2 linked regions of the Macaca mulatta genome follow. The protein of the gene in region 2 binds, or shares a complex with, the protein of the main gene of each other region. Links are inferred from orthologs where the notes say so. Each region holds a gene or a part of one and is shown on either strand. Other genes may lie near its edges.

The links.
Region 1: the proteins of BBS4 (region 2) and BBIP1 are in contact, whole or in part, in a cryo-EM structure (PDB 6VBV), measured with the Bos taurus proteins. The link is inferred for Macaca mulatta from reciprocal best matches to the Homo sapiens genes BBS4 and BBIP1. Residues at the interface, in NP_001069424.1 of Bos taurus: Leu210, Leu213, Tyr236, Leu240, Ala241, Ser244, Gln247, Thr248, Ser269, Pro271, Asn274, Asn275, Met278, Phe281, Gly282, Lys284, Tyr298, Leu299, Pro301, Leu302, Asp303, Trp304, Lys305, Ile306, Tyr308, Asn309, Leu312, Leu315, Thr316, Gln318; in XP_003587939.1 of Bos taurus: Met7, Phe8, Arg9, Glu10, Val11, Leu12, Pro13, Lys14, Gln15, Gly16, Gln17, Leu18, Tyr19, Val20, Glu21, Asp22, Leu28, Lys30, Pro31.

The regions. Positions count from the first base shown.
Region 1 is NC_133414.1:123,100,012-123,104,272, reverse strand, and holds the start of BBIP1 (BBSome-interacting protein 1), read left to right. Parts: upstream 1-1,404; 5' UTR 1,405-1,748; intron 1,749-2,324; exon of another isoform or gene 2,325-2,390; 5' UTR 2,391-2,446; coding exon 2,447-2,483; exon of another isoform or gene 2,484-2,801; intron 2,802-2,880; exon of another isoform or gene 2,881-3,073; intron 3,074-3,643; exon of another isoform or gene 3,644-3,707; intron 3,708-4,261.
Region 2 is NC_133412.1:50,453,359-50,457,005, forward strand, and holds part of BBS4 (BBSome complex member BBS4), read left to right. Parts: intron 1-90; coding exon 91-159; intron 160-1,455; coding exon 1,456-1,608; intron 1,609-1,704; coding exon 1,705-1,876; intron 1,877-3,647.

The DNA.
Region 1 (4,261 bases), on a different chromosome or scaffold from region 2:
TGCTGAAAGAAAGGAGGGAAGAAGAGAAAAACAAAGAAAGAGGAAAAAGAAAGAAAAGAAATAAAGAGAAAGAAAGGCAAATTAATGCTTTGGAGTCATTACTCTTCCACCTAGGCATGGGGGGAGGGGGATGGTACAAAAACAATGGATACTGAGGGGCTGGGGGAAAAAATCGTCTTGCCCCGAAGCCTCTTGCGTTATAAGCCTGGGGGAGTCGGGGGAGAGTGAGACTACTTTTCCTCTCTCCCTAAAAGCTGTGCTATCACGGGGAGAGGTTGCCATCCGGCATGTTCTACGAGGCGGTCTCGAAGGGCTACAACTCGCTTCGCCAGGCAACACACCCAGAGCCGATCCAGCACTCTTCACTCAAAGGGTTTTCAGGGAGAGGAGAACGGGAAAGCAAGGTGGGCTCTAGGGAGGGGGCGCGAAGAGACCCCACCCTGTATGACCGCCGCTGCGCCCGGGCCCTCGCCAACGATTTACACGACTTGGGCGCCCTGCGGACTGGGCCCGGGCCCCCCGGGAACCGAGAAGAGCGAGACTGTCCGCCGGGCGCCCCCGGCCCGCGCCCTCGCGCCGGCTCGCCCTCGCCCAGGCGCTGTCCTGGCCGCCCGCCGCCGCCGCAGGCCCGGCCCCGGCCGCTGTCAGACCCGACCGCCTTCCTCTCCGCGCCGAGCTGCGGGCTCCCACGCGAGCAGGCTCCGAGGGCCCCGCACTCCCGGAGACAGCACCCAGGAAAGCGGCGGCGGCGGCGCCTCCCAGGGCCCCGGCCCCTCGGGCCTCGCCCCGGCGTTGCCGGCTCGCGCCTGTCAGGGCGCGCGGGGCCTCCCCCTACCGACAGCCAGCCCGACAGCCCGACGGACAGGAAGGCAGGCAGGAAGAACCGACCCACAGACACCCTCCGCCTCATCGGCCCCGGGTTACCGTCAGGAGCCCCGACTCCGCCATCCTCCTCGCTCGCCCTGCTTCCTCCTCTTCCTCCTCCTCCTCCTAAGAAGCGACGCTGCCCAACCGCCGCCCCCCGCCCGCCCCTCCCCCACTCGCCCCGCCCCACCCGCCCCTCCACTACTCTCGCTCCAGCCTCCCCGCCCCACCCCTCCGGCGTGGGCCCGTCACTCGCTAGGCAAGAAAAATGGGCGGAGCCGGGGCAAGCGAAGCTGCCCAATCAGAGAAGGGCAGTGGCGCCTGCTTCTCTCTCTCCGCCCTTTTCCTTTCCTCAGTTCCTCTACGCCGTCTCCCGCCCACTGGGCGCCGCTGGCTAGCCGGGCTACAGAGTAAGCCTCCTGCAGGGTAGAGTGACAACTCTCCGATCGGAAGTTACTGTTGAAGCTAAGGCGGCCATAACTGATAATGGCAACAGGAGTTTCCTGGCTTCCTGTTTCCAGGGTGACGTAGATTTTTTTCCTTCGCCAGTCTCACCGTTACCCGGGGCAACAGCTGAGCAGTCTGGGAAGGGATGCATCTGTAAGTAAGCCCAAAGAGGTACCGTGGGTGACCAGACATCCCATGTTAGACAAGTTAATTCATACTCTGGACTACACGTCCAGTTTCCCGGCCCTTATTTTACTGAGACATCTGGTCACATACGTAGATGGACTATAGTTTAGGGCTCCGAAAATCCCTCTCCTGCCCGGAAGTTGCATTTGGCACTTCCGAATAGGGTCATGGCGGAAGGGGGTAAGGGGGTAAATAGCCTCGCCGCCCGTGCCCTAGGGAATGCCCATTCTTGACCTCAGTTGCAAAGTGAGGTGAGTCCCTGGGCCCCAACAAGTGGGCCGGACCCGAGCCGGACGGTCCCTGTGGGACGGAGCGCTGAAATGGAGAGCGGGGCTCAGGGCCCCTTCCGTTAGAAGCTGCTTTTCTTTCCGGGCTGGCCTAGCGGCGGCCCGCCCTCCCTCCGCCCCCCTGAGGCTCCCTGTGGGGTGAGGCAGCGCTACAGGCCGCCCTAGCCCAGCCAGAGCCAGGCTGGCTGGGAGGGCCCCAGCGGGGAATGGGCGCGGACCTCGGGCGGAGCTCCTAACTCCGGCAAAATGGAGCTCCTGACCACGCCTCCGCAAGTTCCTATTAAGTACTTTCACTCTCTGGCCTTTAGAGGGAAGAGAATTCGGGAACTTGAGAAAATAATTTTCCACCTTCAGCTATAAAAGAAAAAGATGAGCCCCTACAATCAGGGCAAGACCTCTGTCTTTTTCCCCTGCCACCTGCCTTCTCATTCTGAGTTTTCCCCCCTTTCCGCGTTTGTCCTTTGTAAGCTTTGACTGCGGTTCTTGTGGTGGGATATACTATCCTAATCCTGCAGGTCTACAGATTCTTAACGTGTTGAATATTTTTGAAAATACTGTATTGCTTTAATATGGCCCTTTACAAAGTTATCATACATTATCTTGTAGTTTCTTCTGTATGCTTGAGTCAAGAACTCTCAGTCATCTTGGTAATACCGGGTTGGATGCTTAAAGCTGCAGCAAAAAGACCAGAACTTTCAGGTAAAATTGAAAATTGTTAATATCCAGCCAGTCAACAAAACCTACCTTCTCGACTTAATTTCTACTTCCCTGGTACTTACACGCCAGCCAAAATGAACTACTCTTGTTTCTTGGCGGTTAATTACTGAAATCTGTTGTAGCACTCACCTTTTGTGATTCTGTCTGATTCTGTTATTCGCGGAGATGTGTTTCCAGATTCTCCCCAGCAGAAAGTAATTCCTCTGAGTTTAGCATTTTTTGCACGTCTTTTATGACAATCAGTATGTTATATATATATAATAGCCGCTTATGTTTTTAACTTCACTACCATGTCTGCACCTAAATAGAATGGTTTGTATCAGATTCGTCTTCCTGTCATTTTCACCCTGCACATGATATTATTTTGGTAAATACTTACTGAAAGTTTGAATATCTCGGGTGTCTCTTGGATGCCCAAGACAGTTCCAGCCAAGTTTTAGAGATCTTCAATTTATCAGAAATTCAACTGAGCGCCTGCTACTCAGCCTTTTTTGACGTTTCCCCTGTGAAGTCTTTCTGACATGATTTTTTTCCCCAATGTTTTATTATGAAAGTGTTCATATATTTAAAAGCTGAAAGAATTAAATAATTTAATGAATATTCATATACCCGTCATCTAGATGCAGCAGTTAACATTTTGCCATATTTTTTTCATTCCTCCTCATTTTTTCATTGTTGTAAAAAGTTGCAGACACTTATTGTTAGGCAGACACCCTTAAGACTTTGAGCATGAATTTCCTGAGAATTTTGAAGTTCTCTAGCAAAACACAATATCATTATTACAGCTGTTTTGTAATGTTTAAAATCTAGCCCAAGTGCTAATTTTCCTAATTTACCCAGGAATATCCTTTATACCTTCTCCTTCCCATTCTTGCAAAAAAAAGAAATCAGGATCCAGTCAAAATTTTTCTTCAGCTTTAATGTAGTGGAGTTCCCCCATCTTTTTCCCCCTGTGACATTGGCATTTTGAAGAGTTCAAGCCAGGAGTCTTTTTGGAAATGGGCCCCCCTTTTTTCTTCTTGTAAACCAGAAATTAGTCTAGAGGCTTAAGTTGAACATTTTTTTTTTTTTGCAAGGATATGTCACAGTGTTCATACTTTTCCAGTCATGACTAAGCCTTCTCAAACGCCAAGTATACGCACCTTTTCCATGATTTGCTGGTTAAATCCATCTCACTTCTCAGCATGCTTACCCCTCTCCGGTGTCCTACAAAGAGGAGGGTAGCATTTAATCATGTGTGTATAGAGTATGTGTTAGTGCCTTGGGTTGGCAACATAGACTGACTACCTTTAATAAAGTGTTGCTGCTACTTTGCCTATTCTTGGAACTGATGCAATGTATTTCTGCAGTAAAGTGTACTGATGTCAGCATAGTTTATGAGTTTCAACTCCTGGCACCCTGCAGACATTGTTGGAAGATGTGTGGGCCCTGCTATTCAAATACAGATGAATCTTGATGTTATCAAAGCAAATACCAAGGCAACTGTTGGCCATCTGGTCACATTCCAATTTAGGCATTGTTATTTTTCTCACTGAAATTCTCATGCAAGTCTTAATTGGTCCTGGTGTTTTTGTGATAGCTTTTTGGTAGCATTAAGCAGAGCCTATTAAAAATTACAAAATCAAGATTATACTTAGTACATTAGATACATCCTCTGTCTAATGGATAGATAAGTGTTTGTGGAATTTACTTCATAATCACAAAAGGAAAATTCTCAAGACTGCCAACCTCATATACTCCTAGCCTAGACTTATATTTGA
Region 2 (3,647 bases):
TAGGCTTGAGCCACCACGCCTGGTCTGGCCAGACTCTTAACTGCCATCTCCTTGCTGATGTAAATTGTCTTGTTTGCTTTTTTTTCCAAGCTCGGCATTTACCAGAAGGCATTTGAACATCTTGGCAATGCACTGACTTATGACCCTACCAACTACAAGGTACTACAGACTGTGAAGGCTCTGGCCTTCAGATAGATGGTCCCACTGCTCCTAGAGGTGATCTGACCCTGGAAAGCAAAGGAATAGCTTCTTAAATTTGGATACCTGAGAAATAGAAAAAATACAAATATAAGGTGGTTCTTCTTATTTGAAAGTATTGTCAAGTATGCTCTACTTATCTTCTAAAAGTGCACATTTGTTACAATAGACGTGTAACCCCTGCAGAAAGCAGAATCATAGTGCTAGTAAAGCTTGTGTGTTAGGAAATTAGCAATGCCTCCACAACTATTGTCAAAAATAAATCTGCTGGGCATGGTGGCTTATGCCTGTAATCCCAGCACTTTGGAATGCTGAGGCAGGAGGATCGCTTGAGGCCAGGAGTTCAAGACCAGGCTTGGCAACGTAGTGAGACCCCCATCTCTACAAAAAAAAATTATTATTCAGGCATGGTGGCACACACCTGTAGTCCTAGATACTCAGAAGTTGGAAGAGGGAAGATCACTTGAGCCCAGGAGTTTGAGGATACAGTAGGCTATGATGGCACCACTGTACTCCAGCCTGCGTGACAGAGTGAGACCCTGTCTCTAAAAGGCAACAATAATCATGTTGAAATGACTTCTAGAATCTTAATGATTTGATATTACAACTTTTGTCTAGATGTGACTTGGGGAATGAGAAGGAATAGCATCAAATGGATGAGTATCATTGAGGAGATGCAGCAAGACAAGCTGTTTATAGAAGGATACAAACAGAGTTCTGATTTAGGAAGTAATATTAGCCTCTCAGCTCCCACCTTGATACCTTTCCTTAGAGAAATGAAAGGGCTGGGCCGACGAAGCCTAAAGCTGACTCACCCTCTGTTCTATGGTAGAAAGAAATATACCTTAAGTAGCCACGTACAGGTGTATTTCAGGTGTCTAGAATACTTGGTGTACCGGGCTGCAGAGAACAGATTAAAGGAAGTTAAAATTAATCAAAAGGTTCTGGTATTCATTCTGAAATACTGACTTTCCTGGCTAGAAGTAGGAAACAGATGGGTAAAGCAAGTAAAATTTTATCTTTTTTTTTTCTTTTTGTTTTTTTGTGCTGTGCCAGAGAGAGCCACAGTGTAGGGTGCAAGGGCATTCCTCAGGAACATTTGTCCCAATAGCTTGGATATATTATTTATGTCCCTGGAAGAAATTTTTCAGTCCCATCTGTGCTGATGGGCCTGCTGAGTATAGACTCAGGAAGGCTGCCTCACTGCTACAGCCTTTTGGGAATGACTGAATTACTTTCTATGTGCCATGTTTTCAGGCCATCTTGGCAGCAGGCAGCATGATGCAGACCCACGGGGACTTTGATGTTGCCCTCACCAAATACAGAGTTGTGGCTTGTGCTGTTCCAGAAAGTCCTCCACTCTGGAATAACATTGGAATGTGTTTCTTTGGCAAGAAGAAATATGTGGCGGTGAGTGTCCCCTCATGTTCTTTGTTCGCATTCATATATGTAGTTATTGGTCTGTTTAGCTTGCCCCACTCATTGAGTGCCCCTTCTCTCTCATAGGCCATCAGCTGCCTGAAACGAGCCAACTACTTGGCACCCTTCGATTGGAAGATTCTGTATAATTTGGGCCTTGTCCATCTGACTATGCAGCAGTATGCATCAGCTTTTCATTTTCTCAGTGCAGCCATCAACTTCCAGCCAAAGATGGGGGAGCTCTACATGCTCTTGGCAGGTAAGAAACATTTATGTGGAAAACTCTCTCTGCCATCTGTAATGAGGGAAAAATGGATTAGAATCATGGAAGATCAGTGGCTGTCTCATAGGAGCCATTCCCTTAGAGATCCTATAGGAATCTGGATTACTGTCCTGGAGCTTGAAGAAATAGATAAAAGATGACAAAAGAACTTGGTTGTTTCTCACTTGGGGGAGTTTCACTCAGAGACCAACAGGTTAAATAAAGATCATCCCTAGTTCACCTTTTACCAATTTTTTCCTCTTGCCTTGACAATTCATTTTTATATATATTGAGTCCAACTAAGTTCCAGATAGGAAGTGTTAAGAGCTTGGGGTCTAGGTGGGGTCCTGCCTCTACTACTTATTATATGTACCTAGGGCTGATGTGAGGATTGCATGATTAAGCACTCAATTCATAATACTGGTTTTGTTGAAATACTGATTTTTGAAAACTTGGTTTTACTGTGGTTATATAATTGGTCTATTATTATCAATATTGTTGTTACTATAATTGGCCCCTAGGTGGTACTTCTAAGTCAAGCTACCTTATGTTTAAACCCTTATCTCTTCTAAGCATGTTATATAGAATGCTGTTCTCTTCCTGAAACTCATTTTATGCCATGCAAATACTAAAATTATCATAAAAATAAGTTAAAATTAAACACTAAAAATTATGCACAACCATTTTAATTTTAAAGTACTGACTAAATAGTCTTCCTAGGAAATTTTTTCTCCATATACATTTACTTACTAAATATAAGACCCAAAGCAGATTTCTATGTCCTCATTTGGCAGTGGTCTTCCAGTGGCTTTTTGTTTATTATTGTGGGGTTCTTACTCAGAAAGCTTGCAAAAGCAATTGAGTCATGGTTATTTGAGGGTTGCCTGAATACAAAGATAACTGCTTTAAAAAAACAACAACATAGGTTTTATTATTATTATTATTCAGATATGGTATGGGCAACAGATCAGAAGACATCTGCCACTGGAAAGATAGTCTGTTACAATTCCTGAGAAGGAGGGCATGCCACACCATGCAGGGCCACATGGGGAAGCACCAGGTCAATCAGAAGGTGGAGGGAGCAAGGGGTAAATGTGGGCACGATTCTTTATTATAGTTTTCATGGGTAGAAATCCCCATACCCAATAGTTATTTTTTTTCTGGCCCTCCCTGCTCCTCCAATAAGCTCCGGTGTCTGTTTCCCTCTCTGTTTCCATGTGTTCTCATCATTTAGCTCTTACAGTGAGAACAGGATTTGGTTTTCTGTCCTGCATTAGTTAAGCTAAGGATGATGGCCTCCAGCTCCATCTATGTTGCTGCAAAGGACATGATCTTGTTCTTTTGTATGACTGTGTAGTATTCCATGGTGTACATTTACATTTTGTTTATCCAGAATGGGCATTTAGGTTGATTTTACATCTTTGCTATTGTGAATAGTGCTGCATTGAACACACAAATGCATGTGTCTTTACAGCAGAATGATTTATATTTCTTTGGGCATATACCCAGTAATGGGATTGCTGGGTTGAATGGTAGATCTGTTTTTAGCTCTTGGGGGAATTGCCACACTGCTTTCCACAATGGTTGAACTAATTACACTCCCATCAACAGTGTATAAGCATTCCCTTTTCTCTGCAGCCTCACCAGGATGTTACCTTTTGAGTTTTTAATAATAGCCATTCTGACTGGTGTGAAATGGTTATCTCATTGTGGTTTTGATTTGCATTTCTCTAATCAGTGATACTGAGCTTTTTTTCATATGCTTGTT